Stegostoma tigrinum: one gene and its partner. The protein of the gene in region 2 interacts with the protein of the main gene of each other region in a pairwise test. Links are inferred from orthologs where the notes say so. Each region holds a gene or a part of one and is shown on either strand. Other genes may lie near its edges. The genes, in order: sybl1 and ap3d1.

The links.
Region 1: the proteins of ap3d1 (region 2) and sybl1 interact in a two-hybrid assay, tested with the Homo sapiens proteins (2 studies listed by BioGRID and IntAct). The link is inferred for Stegostoma tigrinum from reciprocal best matches to the Homo sapiens genes AP3D1 and VAMP7.

Annotation. Positions count from the first base shown.
Region 1 is NC_081368.1:48,299,304-48,306,872, forward strand, and holds the start of sybl1 (vesicle-associated membrane protein 7), read right to left. Parts: upstream 3,116-7,569; 5' UTR 3,005-3,115; intron 1,926-3,004; 5' UTR 1,919-1,925; coding exon 1,773-1,918; intron 1-1,772. Other genes in the region: polr1d (DNA-directed RNA polymerases I and III subunit RPAC2), read left to right, coding at 3,311-3,352. UniProt on the Homo sapiens protein: Involved in the targeting and/or fusion of transport vesicles to their target membrane during transport of proteins from the early endosome to the lysosome. Required for heterotypic fusion of late endosomes with lysosomes and homotypic lysosomal fusion.
Region 2 is NC_081383.1:19,184,024-19,191,726, forward strand, and holds the start of ap3d1 (AP-3 complex subunit delta-1), read right to left. Parts: upstream 3,070-7,703; 5' UTR 2,832-3,069; coding exon 2,736-2,831; intron 1-2,735. UniProt on the Homo sapiens protein: Part of the AP-3 complex, an adaptor-related complex which is not clathrin-associated. The complex is associated with the Golgi region as well as more peripheral structures.

The DNA of each region.
Region 1 (7,569 bases), on a different chromosome or scaffold from region 2:
AGTTGAGCCACTGGAGGAGGACAGTGTCCAATGAATTTGTCAAATTTAATACAGAAGACTGCAGACTCCGAACTGCTGTAAATGAAGTTTGTGCTAAGTGGATGTGGTTAATGAGATCTGTATTTGAAAAGAATTGATCAGGTGATGCAAGGTACAGGCAAAGCGAAAATAAAGCAGATAATTTTCTAAACAAGACAACTGTGACCTTAGTTACATTCCAGTTGTAAGCTTGGAAGGAGTAGGGTACAAAGTTGTGACATAAACAGATTACGTAACACTACACCTACAAAAGGCAAAACTCTCAAACAAAATCAACATACAATACAAGCAGTCTTGCTCAAACCTATCTAGATTCCACTTACTGAATCCAAACAGTGTTACAGATTAGCAATTGCACATTAACAATTAACATTTTATCTCACCAAGGCATAGGGCATTCAAGGCATTTTAAAGCAAAATTTACAGGCTTAAAATGTGGTTTAGCAGTGCCATTGTCAATGCATTGTCTCTGTATTCTTCCATCTGATTTAAGTACAAATCAGGAGCTGGCAGTCATTTGGCCCTTCAAGTCTGCTCTGCTTTTTAACATCATAGCTGATCCTTTAATCTCTGGAGATGCCCACCTTCTCTCATACCCCTTGATGCCTTTTATAGTTTAAAAACTTGAACTTTGAATACATTAAACGAGTTAAAATTTAGCTCTGATGATGTGGATGGACATCTCTCCAAGCAAATGCCTATGCAAAATTAAATTTGGGTTCATTATATAAATGCAGTTAAAGTCAGCAGCAACATGGCAGCCATAGATAAGCTGAAATTAGAAATGGAAAAATCCTATTAGCACTACAATGACAAGTCTCTCTTTTACAGAAACTGTTAAAATACAGAGTTAAAACAAGTTTACTCTCCATCCATAAGTAACCCAACTAGTTTGACCCAGGAAAAGGGGTGAGCCATTCAGCACAGAGCTATTTCACCATCCTAGGTGATCAATCATCTCAGTGCCAGTTCTTTTCCCACTATCACAATGTCCCTTAAGTGACATATTTTGAGTTCAACCTGCACTATGATTGAGCTTCCACAATCCTCTACAGTAGAGAATTCTAAAAAGACTCATGCCTTTCATTTGAAGATTTTCCTCCTTATCACAGTCTTAAAATGCTGTGCTCCTTAGCCGGAGATCTGTCCCTGGGTCTAAGGTCACAGAGGAGGTGCCCTATTTATATCTACATTGTCACATTTTATGACTTGTATAGGTTTCAAAAGGGTCACTTCTTGCATTTCCAAAGTTCTAGAGAACACAAACCAAGTTTCCTCAATCTTTCATGACAATCCTGTCATCCCATTAATCTGGTGATCTTGCCAAAAATGGGCAAGTATTCAAATTTCAGCATATTGTTGGCTGTGTGGCAGTAAGTCATTCCATTAAACTCTATTTTCCAAAGAGTATAGACACAAAAACATGATCAATCTCATTAACCATAAAATAACAGGGAAGGTGCAGGGGGAAGAGGGGGTGGGGGAAGGACCCTAGTCTAGGATCACAATGGTGTTAGATTACAGGAACTTCCTTGTGAATGTTTATTCTACAGAATGTCCAATAAATGTAAGAAAGAATGGTTCATTACCAGAACAACTTTTCCATACATGCATGATATCACTCATAGAGAAATGACGCTTCTGCTTTTAACTCAAAATATGCCAAAACAAAACTTCTCAGCATGTGAAAGCAGCAGTTACAAAATTCTCAGCTCAAAGATCTCGGGACTTACTTTCCATGAGAATAAGTCAGTTTATTATTTTCTGATGGTATTTTTGATAGTATCTGTTCAGTCACTTCCAAAAAATTCCCTCCACACCAGGCATTCTTTGCCAGGATGGTAGTGCCTCTTGCAACTACTGCAAACAAGATAGCCATGGCTCCTCTGAAAAGGTGATACAAAATACAAATGTACATCACAACTTTCAAATCACTAGATTACAACAAGATAAATACTCCCACTATGAACACACTATTTACTCCATACTGAAAAGTACAAGACATCATAATGAGAAAAGCAGGATCACAGTTACAGATTAAGGAACAAGCCAGCCAGACAAGAAAGTTTTAAAGTCATAGTGCTTTGCTTAGAATCAATTTTAATGCTAGCCTGGAAATAGGATTGAAATGAATGTTCACCTTACTTCATAGAATCATGTAGTACAGAAGAGGCCCTTTGGTCCATTAACTCTTTACTGCCAAAACTACACTATTACCATCTACACTAGACCCATAGACTTAAATATTACAACACTTCAAGGTGTTCATCCAAGTACATTTTCAAAAGTTGAGATTTCCCCACCTCAACTGCCATCCCAGACAGTGTATTCCAGATCCCCACCACCATACAGTCAAAAAAGCTTTTCTCTAAATCCCTTCTAAACTTCCTACTTTTTACCTTAAAGATTACACCTCCTTGTTAACCCAGCCACCAAGGAGAACAAGTCCTTTCTCCTCAGTCTTATACACCTCAACCTTCTCTGCTGAGAAGTAAATAACCTGAGTTTAGCGACTCTGTCTTTGTGGCCAAAATGTTCAATCCCAGTGGATCATTTCTGCAAGTACACCCTTCCAATAGCGTGGTGACCAACTGTGGCCTAGAGCTCTAAATAGTCTTTGCAAGACGTCTCAAACTGATCCTCCAACTAATTTCGCTTTCGAGCTTCCTTCACCAACAACCGTTCACGCTTCGCAGTAAACGTTAGATACTCAAGTACGGGTCTTACAACAAACGGAAGAAGCGATGCGACCCAACACAGCCCACAGCTGAAGTTCTCCACCTGCAGCTCATCAAAACACCAGTGACACCTGAGCCCTTTCCCTAGGTAAACATTCCCCAAACTGAAAGCTCCACACTACGACGTTACATGTCTTCACCATAAAAACAAACAGCATCCACAAACTCTGGGCGAGCTCGACTAACGTCCTAATGACAGCAACAATTAAACAAAAACTGTCCCATACCCTTCCCTGAGCTTCCTCCACTCCGGGGCCTTATCCTCAAGCTTCACCCTTTCCACACACTTCCGGTCAGGTGATACCTTTGCCACGCGCACGCACAGGTCGACACGGCCAGCCTCCTCACAAAACGCACGCAACCATCAGCCTTACGCGAATTATGGGAAATGTCGTTCAAGCCGTGAAAGTAACGGACATTTACAGGCGCGTTTATCCTTCGAAGACTACAATTCCCGGCATCCATGGAGAACGACGTTTAATACCGGCGTCGACATCCAGTGTCGAAGTGGACCCCAGAGCGACAGCGTGAGGATGGCAACAGCTGAAGGGATGCAGAAACCTGTCCTGGAAGTGGTGAGTACGTTCTCTCGTAGTGTCCAGCACTTGACTAACCTTAGTATCAGAGATAATGGGAACTGCAGATGCTGGAGATTCCAAGATAATAAAATGTGAGGCTGGATGAACACAGCAGGCCAAGCAGCATCTTGGCCTGCTGTGTTCATCCAGCCTCACATTTTATTAACTTGACTAACCTTGTTTGTTTTTGTTTTTGTTTTGGAGGCGGTACTAGAGAAAATTGATAAAATCATAGATGCAAGTGATCTGAATTTTCAGAAGGCGTTTGGAAAGAACGATAAGGTCTGAGAATATGGAGTCTGTAGACAGACTATTATTTGCTGTCTTCAAAGCAATTACTTTATATCACAGGAAAAAAATACTTATGACTCACATATGAAGTTCTGAGCATGTCTGTCAACAAGAATAAGTAGTGGGCATAGAAGACCGTTGAAATCCAATGCTATGCCGACCTCTCTAACATGCTCAGCCATTTCCAGGCCACCTTAGACCTTGAATGGTTCAAAAACAAACAATCTTGAAGGCAGTAATATACTCCTCAAATACGATGTAGTCACCCAAGATTTTTGGAAAGAGCATTACTAGTTTCAGACAAGATTCCAACAGTTTGATAGATTAACTTTGGGTATATGCCCACGTTTGCTGAGAGACTATCCAAAAGATGAAATATAACACTGTATGGTTGGACAATGTTTCTGCAGAGATCAATAAAGTGGGTAGGCATGAATATTTGCTCAAACCTTCAGACTTTGTACAAGTCAGGGAAGAAGATGTATTTCTTCTCAGCTTCCACAAAGCAGTATTGTTTTTCTATTTTAAGAAGGGTGCAAAATTAATACCATCAATGCACTATCATCAGGGTTCATAGTCTTTGTGGTATCCAGTGCTGTCAGCTGTTTTTTGAAATCATACAGAGTGAACTGAATTGGCTGAAGACTGATATAAATGATGTTGATGTATAAGGTATGTACTCAGCACTTCTGGCTGAAGAGGGTTGCAAATGTTTCATCTTTGCTTTTTTGCATAGATATGCTAGGCTGCCTTTCATTGAGGAAAGAGTTGTTTTTGGAGCCTATTGCTCCACTTGTTCAGTTGTCCACTACTGTTACTGACTAGTTGTTGAAAAACTGCTCAGCTTAGGTTTGATTCATTGAGTGTAGGATCGTTTAGCTCTCTTTATATCATTTGCTGCCTCTGCCATTTGATATGCAGTAGTCTTGTGTTGTAGTTTCTGCATACTTTGAGATATGTCTGGTGTAGCTCCTGCCATGCCCTCTTGCACTCTTCATTGAATCAGGCTCTCTGCTTGATAGTAATTGTACAGCAGAGTTATGCAAGGCCATGAAGTTACAGATTGTAGCTGAATTTAATTCAGTTGCTGATGGCCCACTATGCCTCAAAGGTGCTTAGTTTTGAGTTGCTATCCCATTCTGCCCCATTTAGTAGAATGGTAGTGCCATGTAGCAGGATAGAGCGTATTTGCAATGTGCAGATAGGACTTTACAAGAAGTGGCCTGCCCAACCAATAAGGTAATTGACAGATTCATTTCTGCTGGGTAGATTGGTCTGGACCTTCTCAGTTTAGCAAATTGGATCCTCTTTGCTCTAACAAACAAACAATCCATGCTTGCTATCAAGAGCAATTCAGAACAGGTCACATAACCACTTTTCAATTAATCATGAATTGAAGATCCAACCTCGAGATGATGATCTTATAACTTTCATCATTTTAATGTAATCAGTCACATAGAAAGCTCCTGACACTTGATCAGTCAGTAAGTCTGGCCATCACTGTTTTGGTAGGATGGGGTAGAATTCTTCAAATCTAAACTAAACAGCAGGTTGGATAGAGGTAAGCAGAGATGAAGATTTAAACTTTCAAACAATCTCATCTCCCAAGCTATTGACCCTGTTCATCTTTGTGGCCACTGTTTAAGACTGTTGAATATGATTGCACATTAGCTGACTGCATATTCACTTCCACACGAAGATCGTCTCCTTCCAACTCTGCAGCACTGCTCGATTCAGCTCCTACCTCAGCTCATCTGCTGCTGAGATTGTAACTTGTTCTGGATGTGAGTTTGCTCGCTGAGCTGGAAGGTTAGTTTTCAGACGTTTTGTCACCATTCGAGGTAACATCATCAGTGAGCCTTCGACGAAGCGCTGGTGTTATGTCCCGCTTTCTATTTATCTGGTTAGGTTTCCTTGGGTTGGTGATGTCATTTCCTGTTCTTTTTCTCAGAGGGTGGTAGATGGGCTCCAAATCAATGTGTTTGTTGATGGAGTTCCCGTTGGAATGCCATGCTTCTAGGAATTCTCGTGCGTGTCTCTGTTTGGCTTGTCCTAGGATGGATGTGTTATCCCAATCAAAGTGGTGTCCTTCCTCATCTGTATGGAAGGATACTAGTGATAGTGGGTCATGTCTTTTTGTGGCTAATTGATGTTCACGTATCCTGGTGGCTAGCTTTCTGCCTGTTTGTCCAATGTAGTGTTTGCCATAGTCTTGCTACATTGGACAAACAGGCAGAAAGCTAGCCACCAGGATACGTGAACATCAACGAGCCACAAAAAGACATGACCCACTATCACTAGTATCCTTCCATACAGATGAGGGAGGACACCACTTTGATTGGGATAACACATCCATCCTAGGACAAGCCAAACAGAGACACGCACGAGAATTCCTAGAAGCATGGCATTCCAACCGGAACTCCATCAACAAACACATTGATTTGGAGCCCATCTACAACCCTCTGAGAAAAAGAACAGGAAATGACATCACCAACCCAAGGAAACCTAAACAGATAAATAGAAAGCGGGACATAACACCAGCGCTTCGTCGAAGGCTCACTGATGATGTTACCTAGAATGGTGACGAAACATCTGGGAACAAACCTTCAAGATCAGTGAACCAGCTTACATCTGGAACAAAATAAAGACCCACTCTCTTGTGGACCGAGAGGAGGAGAGTGCTGTGTTGGAGGTGAAAGAAGGACGTCGGGATGGCTGTGCACCCTTGCGACCGGTTGATCTTAATGCTGGCTTCGGCCTAACACTGGTTTAGGGGAGCAGCCAACCTGCAACGATGGCTGCGGCAAGTGCTCGTGCCCCAGGTCAGGGGGTCCGGAACACCATTTGTGTTTCTGTAAAGAAGGTGGATGAAGGTGCACCTGTGGACCGCACCTTCTTCATGAAGAGGGTCCTGTTGGACTGTTGTGGGTTCGCTGCTGCGGACATTTACTGCCTGCAGGATTTCCCCGGAGGAGGTTTTTACAATGTGACCTTCAGGAGTGCCAAGCTTTGCGAGCGCTTCCTGGAGGTTTTCAAGGAGAAAGGAGGTGAGGGCCCCCTCTCTGTATTGACCGCTGTCCCGCTGTTTGTGGTGCCAGCGCAGGGGGTCGTATGGTGACTGTACACATGTACAACCCGCGTGTGCCAGCAGCTGATGTCCTGACCTTCCTTGGAAGATACGTGAAGGTGGAAGGGGACCTAACTGACATCATGGACCGCTTTTGGCATCTGGACCAGTAAGAGGCAGGTCAAGGTGACGCTGAGGATGGGCGCGGACGGGAACGTCGTACACCCACTGTCCAGCTTCGCGATCGGCGGGAGCAAGGGCTACCTGACCTATGCAGGGCAACCTAAAGTCTGCCATGCCTGTGGTAGGTCAGGTCACGTGGCGGCCGACTGCAAAGCCACCATCTGCAGGGAGGAGGGACACCTTGCAAACCTGCAACCTTTGCGGGGAAGCGGGCCACCTCTATAGGGCATGCCTGCAGCAGGGGACCACTTACGCCCAGGTCGCCGGCAGGGGCAATGCGGGGCCAGCCCCCCCGGAGAAGAGGAAGGCACCAGGGCCCAGCAAGGACCCCACTAATGTGCAGGAGAGCCAGGCCATGCAGGAGGGCCCAGCCCCGCAGGATGGGCCCGAGGCCAGCAAAGCACCCCTGCAGGCTCCGCTCCCCCCCGACAACCCGGAGTTGATGGAGGCGGCGACAGGCGACCCAGGGGAGTGGACAACGGTCCAGAAAGCGAGGAGGAAGGTGCGTCGATGGGCCCAGGAACCGCAACCATCAGGCGGGAAGAGGCTGCTACAGGGGGGCTATAAGAGCTCCTCTGACGAGGGGGATTCGGAGAGGGCCCGCCCGAAGCAGAAGTTAAAGATCTCGAGGGAGAAGGAAAGCAGCACCCGGCTTCCAGGTGTTGGGAGGCAC
Region 2 (7,703 bases):
GGCAGAGTGGACTTGATGGGTTGAATGGCCTTACTTCCACTCCTATGTCTTATGGTCTTATGGACAGTTGAAGATTGCTGCAACTAGCATGCAGCACAGAGGTCACAAAGCCAGCTATTGGAAAGGATTATACAACTTAGATTTAAAATGCTTATGGTGATTTGACTCACCCATTTGCCATTAGCACTTTTGCATCAACAGAACTGAAGCAAAACTGCAGCCCTACAATGTCAAGAAACAAGATTTGTGCACTAGCTTCAGCCACGTAAATTGAATTTAAACAATTTCCAATATCACCAATGTCAGATGATGCAATTACACACTCCCTACTTAAGAACTGAATAATGTTGGCTAGCAGTATGCAGAATGAAAAGAAGCGTGCAACCACACAACTTCACCAGAGCAGTTTGGCACAATTGGAGTCTGTGTTTTGCTATATTACTAAAATGAATTCCATGGATATTAACTTTTGCTATTATTTGTAATTTCCTCTGGTGCATAGAGACCACGCATGGGCGGAACTTCAGAAACCTAAATAAAGTTTAAATACATGTCCCAATGCTTGCAGCATATGTTAATCGAATGAAGCAAACATGCTAAATATTATAATTTAAAAGTTTAACTTGAAGTAAAGGAATCAGGACACAGAATCAAAAAGTGCAGTTGGAAACACCGACTATAGATGATTTCACAGTTTTTGGGATTGTGCAGTCACTGAAAGGAATACAACCGCTCAAAATATAAACCAATTTTAATCATGTTATAGCTGAAGTTTACATGTCAAATTACTTTTGACAATATTAATTTGGCTATCCTCATTCTCCTAACAAAATTAAGGTACCTTGACCTACACGATTGGTGTTTTACTGTTCCCAAATGATTCTTCTGCTTAAGAACTAACAAATCAGTAGTTCCAAAAAAAAGCCCAAAACTGCATTCCGTCTCTCTTCCACTCCCCAACAAATCATATCAGTTTGGCACGCATAAAGCTTTTTTCACAACCTGATTACATTCACAAAACTCCAACTCCCACATTAAAACTTTCATACTGCCGCAAAGAAATGTAACCTGATGACTGTACCCTTAACAAAAATTAACAAAAAAACTTTTCTTCAAATCTACAAAGTTTGCATTGTTGCACCTTTCACAACTACTCCAAGAATGATACAGTGAATTAAGTATTTTAAGTGTTGGAAATGCACAAAACCAATTTGCACAAATCAAGCTCTCACAGCCAATATGTCAGTGACCAGATGTTTCTGAGATGTTGATCAAGGGGTAATCATTCACTTGAGCACCAGAATTTACACCCTGACATTCAGTGAATTGGTGCTAAAATGTTTATGTTCATTCAAGTAGTCAGATGGCCTTTCATGCGCATGATGCCATATCTAACAATGTCCTTCAGAACAGTATTGCAGTGCCACCCTCGATTTTTAAGCGCTCCAATGCTGGACTGGGGTTGGTCCAGCAAGCCTGTCTCACCCCAACACAATGCTTGTCATTGAACATATCCTACCCCCTCTCCCTCAAGTTGCACAGTCACCTACAAAAGACGAAGTGAAACTTATGAGGAATTGGCTCTTTAAATCTGTGATCTAACTAGTATTTCTTAATGAATAGCAAGTGTTTAAAATTTTCAACATAATTATGAATGGATGTGAACTAATCAACATCTGATAAAATCTGTATATATGTGTCAAGTGGCACAAAACTTCAAACATTCGTTTTCATTCACTATTTTAAAACAAAATAGCTGATCCTAGTACACAGGACAAATTCTGTCATCGTAGGGGGAGCACAATATTGGTTGCACTCAACCTAGTTAATTTAACTTGAGTAAAGCTATTCCTGTTAGAAGAGCGAGCTTTCCACTATGTTTAAAACATCTGTTTTGAAAAGCATTGTCATCTCCAGTCTCAAAAGGTTAACTTAGTTGTTAGCTAAAGAAACACAAAAAGGTACAGTACCAAAATTATCAAACAAGGATTATACCACAGGTTTACCACGACATCACCAAAGGTTTTACAACTCTACGTTGGAGTGAATGACCACTTTTATACACTAAACAACCGTGTCAAAACAAAATGAAATGCCGTATTGAGAAATTCAAGACAACAACAACGCATCAGGACTTCAATATGTGCACATTTTCCGTTTATGTAGGTAAAGTATTGACAAACGTAAAACATATTCGCGCACAATTAGGTAAGCAATAAGGTGTGAGTCAAGTCAGAAGCTTGGCCACATACGTCCCTTGGTGATCAGGTTACCAAACGTCAGCATCAGCAAAACTATCAGCTTTTGGACCAAAACACAGTTGGACCCTCAACTGTCAATTTCATAAAAAAAATAAGTATTACTGTTGGAGGGGAGATAGAAACGGGGACGGCTGGCAAGGGAAACAATTATTTTGGGCGTTTGCTTTAACACAGATTTACATTTTCGCAAGGAAATTAAACGCCAGGCAAAAACAGGTTAGAAGAAAAAAAGGAGCCGATTCTTGGGAGCTCCTGTCAACAGCAGCTGCTCGTCCCACAGCCCAGTTTCCAGACTGAAATGAACTATCCCGAGCGCCGGGCCGAAGTGAAGAATGGAAAGATCGGTTTGTCCCGTTGTTATCAATGCTAGGCCTCGGATACATTCGTTTGTAGTTACTTTCCCCGTGTTTCTTAATCCTCCTCATTCTCGTGTGACAGCGATGTGACGGTGGCTGCAAAACAGCTCCAACTCACCTCGTCTTCCTTGTGGTTCCGGATGCCACGTACCAGGTCCTGCAAATTCTTGTCAAACATTCGGTCAATGCTGCCTTTCACGATTTTCAGAGCCATGTTCCTTCGGGTCGGCTTTCTCCGGGATCTTCTTGAGAGCTACACAAACCCTTCTCCCTTTCACCGACCACCGATGTTGGAAAACATGCCAGATTTCCTCTCCCGAATCTACACAACCGTAGAAAGGGAATGTAGAATAAACCAGCGGAGCCACAACAATGAATTATACTGCCTCTGCACTGTCCCCCACTTACAGGTTACAGATAGCAACAGAAAATGGCCGCGGCTAAGCTAGAGTCAGGTGACCAACTGCGGGACTGGAAAGGGGAGGAGAAAAGAAGGAGCGCGGCGGAGTGTGGGGGTGGAGCCTAGAGATCAGGGGGCAGGTCCGGCAGGGGGCGGGGACTGTTGTTTGAGATGGCGGGGCCTGGGATGGGACATAGGCGGGGTCCCGCTGTGGAGGGGGCGGGGCCTGTGGCGTTGACAGGGCGAACTCTTCGCGTCCTAAGAGGGGGAGAGGCTTTTGGCAGGAGAAGGCGGGACAGATGGTGGGTGTGGTCTGTCCAGCCGTGGGCGGAGATTTAATCGGGAGAGGGCGCGGCCTAGGGACGGGCGCCCATGACGGGGCGCAGTGGGAAACAGGGCGGGCCCTTGCAGTGGGCGAGGCCAGTGTGGGGCGTAGAATGCGGTGGGGCTGGGCGCAGAAGTTGGGACCTTGAGTGGGCGGTAGCGGGCGTCCGTGGGAGGGTACCACAACTAGAGTAGGCGGGGCCCGCACCGGAGGGGGCGGGGCGGGGCGTTGATAGGGGTACAGTCTTGTGCCGCAGGACCGTGGGCCAGCATTGATAGGGCTGTGCGATGTTGGCTCATCTTCACAATTATTGATATTTCCACTCAGAATCTTCGTTTCCTAAGATTGCTTTCTTGCATAAGACCGTTTATAGTCTCTCCGTTGTTTTATGGTTTCCTTTGTAAGCATGATTTTGTGGTGTTCAGTTGGGCCGTGCGTATGAAACTGAGTCAGTTGGGTATGAAGATACGAATTGGGAGCAGATATAGGCCACTCGCTCCTGAATCCTCCTCTGTGATTCAATTAGATCACAAGATCTGATTGCTCCACATTTCCGCCTGACCCAATGATCTTTTACCCATTTGGTCATCAAGTGTCTCATCTGCATCAACTCTAAAACGTTCAAAGACTCTGATTTTCAGATTTCTAATTTTCAGTCCAGTTTACATAGAAGCATGGAAAATAGGACCAGAATGCTGTTCAGCCTTTGGAGCTTGCTCTGCCATTCAATTCGATCATGGCTGGCCCTGTTTTCTCTCCATTTGCTTTGATCCTTTTGGTCCTAGGACCTATATACATATTTAAAACTTACTTGAAAATGTTCAATGTTTTGGTTTCAGCAGTTTCCTTTGGCAGAGAATTCCACAAGCTCATTACCCTCTGGGTGAAGAAATTTCTTCACATCTCAATCCTAAGAGGCAAACCCTTTATTCTTAAACTGAGACTGCACACACTGTCCTGGTGTTGTCTTACAAATCTATTGTACAGTCACAGCAAATCACTCCTGTTCCTGTTTTTGAACCCCCTCGCTATTTTGTGGTAGCAATGATAATGAAAAAGTGCCACTGTTATTCCTCTTGAAATCAATAATCTCTTGCCATTGTGTACATGTGGAGACAGATGTAGAAGTTGCTGCCACTGATTCTAATTGTTTCACTAGGGCATACTGTCGAACTTCCTCAAACTGTGATCAACTTCGAATCACTAAACAGACAAAGAACTTTGTCTTTTATGTTGTAATACTGCTGTTAACCACCACCAGCGTTGACCCAAAGTCAGCAATTTGTCTTTTATGTTGTAATACTGCCGTTAACCACCACCAGCGATGACCCAAAGTCAGCAACTTGTCAATGAAGTATGACTTTTTTTAAATGTTGTACTACTGCTGAATAGTCTCTTTGGCTGTTGAAAACTAATTTCATATTTGTCTAAATTTTTTTTTCCATTCCACTTTAAGTTCTCTTTTTCCAATGTGATTTAAGCTTCAAATGTGTGTGACTTAAACATCTATTTCACTCTAAGGCGAAGAACGGCCAGTGCATTTTATTTCCTGGTTTGCAGCCTGAAGACTATTTTATTGTGATTGGTTGGTTAACGTCAAGTTGCTCAACAAGAAGTCAAATTGAAACTAAAGTCAGTAATAGCAAAACCCATCATACAGAAATTGCTCAATCTAGGAGGGTGTGTTCCTTCAAGCTTAGTGATAAGTGCCAATACTTGACACTGACCACAAAATGAACCAATAGCTCTTTGAAGATAACAAAATGTGAAGCTGGATGAACACAGCAGGCCAAGCAGCATCTCAGGAGCACAAAAGCTGACGTTTCGGGTCCCTCTGATGAAGGGTCTAGGCCCAAAACGTCAGCTTTTGTGCTCCTGAGATGCTGCTTGGCCTGCTGTGTTCATCCAACTTCACACTTTGTTATCTTGGATTCTCCAGCATCTGCAGTTTCCATTTTCTCTGAGCTGTTTGAAGATCTGACTCACCACAGTAAATTTAGTGCTGCACATTGGGAAGGAATTTCTCCAGTGCCTATGTGCATCGATTCATTTGTTGCAATTGTAGGAAATATGTCCATTCAAATACATGCTGATTGTAAATGCAGACGGAAACCACTCATCAAATGTGTGGGCTGGATTTAATGGAGAAGATGGGGTTCTTGGTCACTGGTTGGACAGCTGACAAAAGCCCTATATCACAGGCACTTGATAGAGCAGTGGAGGGCCTTCTGCCAAAATCATGGAAGTTCCACCCACTAAGAATCACAAGCCAGTCAGAGGCTAGCAGCCCTTCTACAGCAAGTAGTGCCATTGGAGAGGGGATGGCTGCTGCCAGTACACCACCAGATAAGATCCAGCATTGCTGATGGACCGGGGCACAGGAGAAGGGTAGTAGGAGGCTATTCATGGGATGTGGACTTCTGGTAAAAGGGCTTTGGGGGGATCAACAGGAGGAGTGAGAAAGTTGCTGTTACCAGGCCAACTCCCTACTCGATGTGGAATCCTTAATCAGGCTATAAATACCGTTGAAAAAGGGAACCCTTCACACTCTTGAAGGTTGCAAATAATCCCTCCAGAGTTCCATGTATGCTGTGCCTCCTGCAGTAGTGGGATATAACCCTAAAGTGGGCATTGTTATGAAGGCATTTAATATTTCTCAGTGGGAAAAAAAGTTACATGGATTAGTTATTTGAAAAAAAGGTTTCTGGAAGGCCATTAGGCATTGAAAGCTTTTTGACAAGGCTTCTTTGGAATCACGAATCTTGTGAAAACCATTTCTATTGGTATAGACAAGTGTGCGGTAAATTCCACCAATGCACGAAAGTTGAGTCAATGCCATGATCCAATTAAGTGGGGGGGGGGGGGGTGTTATTGCTGGTTAAAATTCGGGTTGATGGCCCAATTTGCATCCTTAATATTTAGGCCCTATCTTACTAAACTCACCTAAAAAGCTGGATGTCAGGAAACCTCAACATCAAAACCAAATTGGGTACCTGGCATATTCTGCTCACCATTTACTCCAGGCAACTTCCACATTGCCCATGACTGAATCACAGTCCAAGGTATGCTCCAGGGTATGTCTGAGACGTCTCTGACATCAAGCACTCTCAACATTTAAGTAGAAAAGGGTCAAGTCAAACACATCACAAAGCCAGTGAGTTCACACAGAATGATTTGCTATATAACATTTGCAATCTGAACTGCAAATGGAGATTGCTTTACCATTTTGTATGAGACACACGTTAACCTAAATGGAAAAAAATGAGACTCCTTACTAAGCATATATCCATTGAAGTAACGGAGAAACCATCATCATCACTGAACATCATTGCCACATGCTAGATTGTGACTTTACATTATGTGTCTTGCAATATTGTGCAGGAATTGTACAGAAATAGAAAAGTGACATGAATTCTTTGGCTTCGGGTGGCAGATAATAATTACTCTGTTACATTTTACAACTAAAACTATGAACAATAAAGCAGCTTCCTGAAATGGTTAAGCGGCAGCATAAAAACAATCCAATAATTTTCACATGATTAGAGAATTTGTAATATATTCTGTTTAATTCAATTCATAGATAAACACAGACTTTCCTTCATCCACATTGATAGAGTTTGAAAGGTTTATAAAATCTGCTTCGGACTTATGTCTCGTGCCTATGAGGTCCAAAGCTAGGATAAGGACTTTAGAAGATTCCCTTTCATAATTACACAAACCTTTGAAAATGAAAGTAATGGTTTGTTGACCTCAATCTAGATACTCTGCTTGAACCTAATTGCATGTCTTAACTAACCCATTATTTACATGTTTGATTGCAGGACCAAGAAATCATGGGTGGAATTTACTGCATTCCTATGGTGAGTTGTGGATGAGAATTCCCACAGCCTTCTTCCTTCCACCCCATTTAATTTAATGAGGGAAAGGCCTATGGATGATCTTCGCGTCTTGTTGCAACTGATGTTCTTAAAGGGGCAATTCCCACTGTTATGACCTAGACTGGAGGAGTGCAGTATCCCTCTAATCCCATTCCTTATGGTGTCACAACATAACATTTACTAATTGTACCCAAGTCCAGTTAATACTCAGTTGTGTACTTACTCTGTATTAGCCCCGGAATGAAAAGATTAATCAACCAAGTCTCATTAATTGAAACAAAATTATTGATATATTATGAAACAAAATCTGTTCAACTGTGATGCAGAATTCGTTAGCACATACCATTTGTAATATGAAAAGATAAACATTTCCCCCATTAACTAATCCAAACGCGCACACCTACAAACACTTTGGGTAAAGTGGGTATATTGGATTTCTCACTGTAGAGATTCGTTAGCTAAAGACTGCTTTTCTTTTTAAAA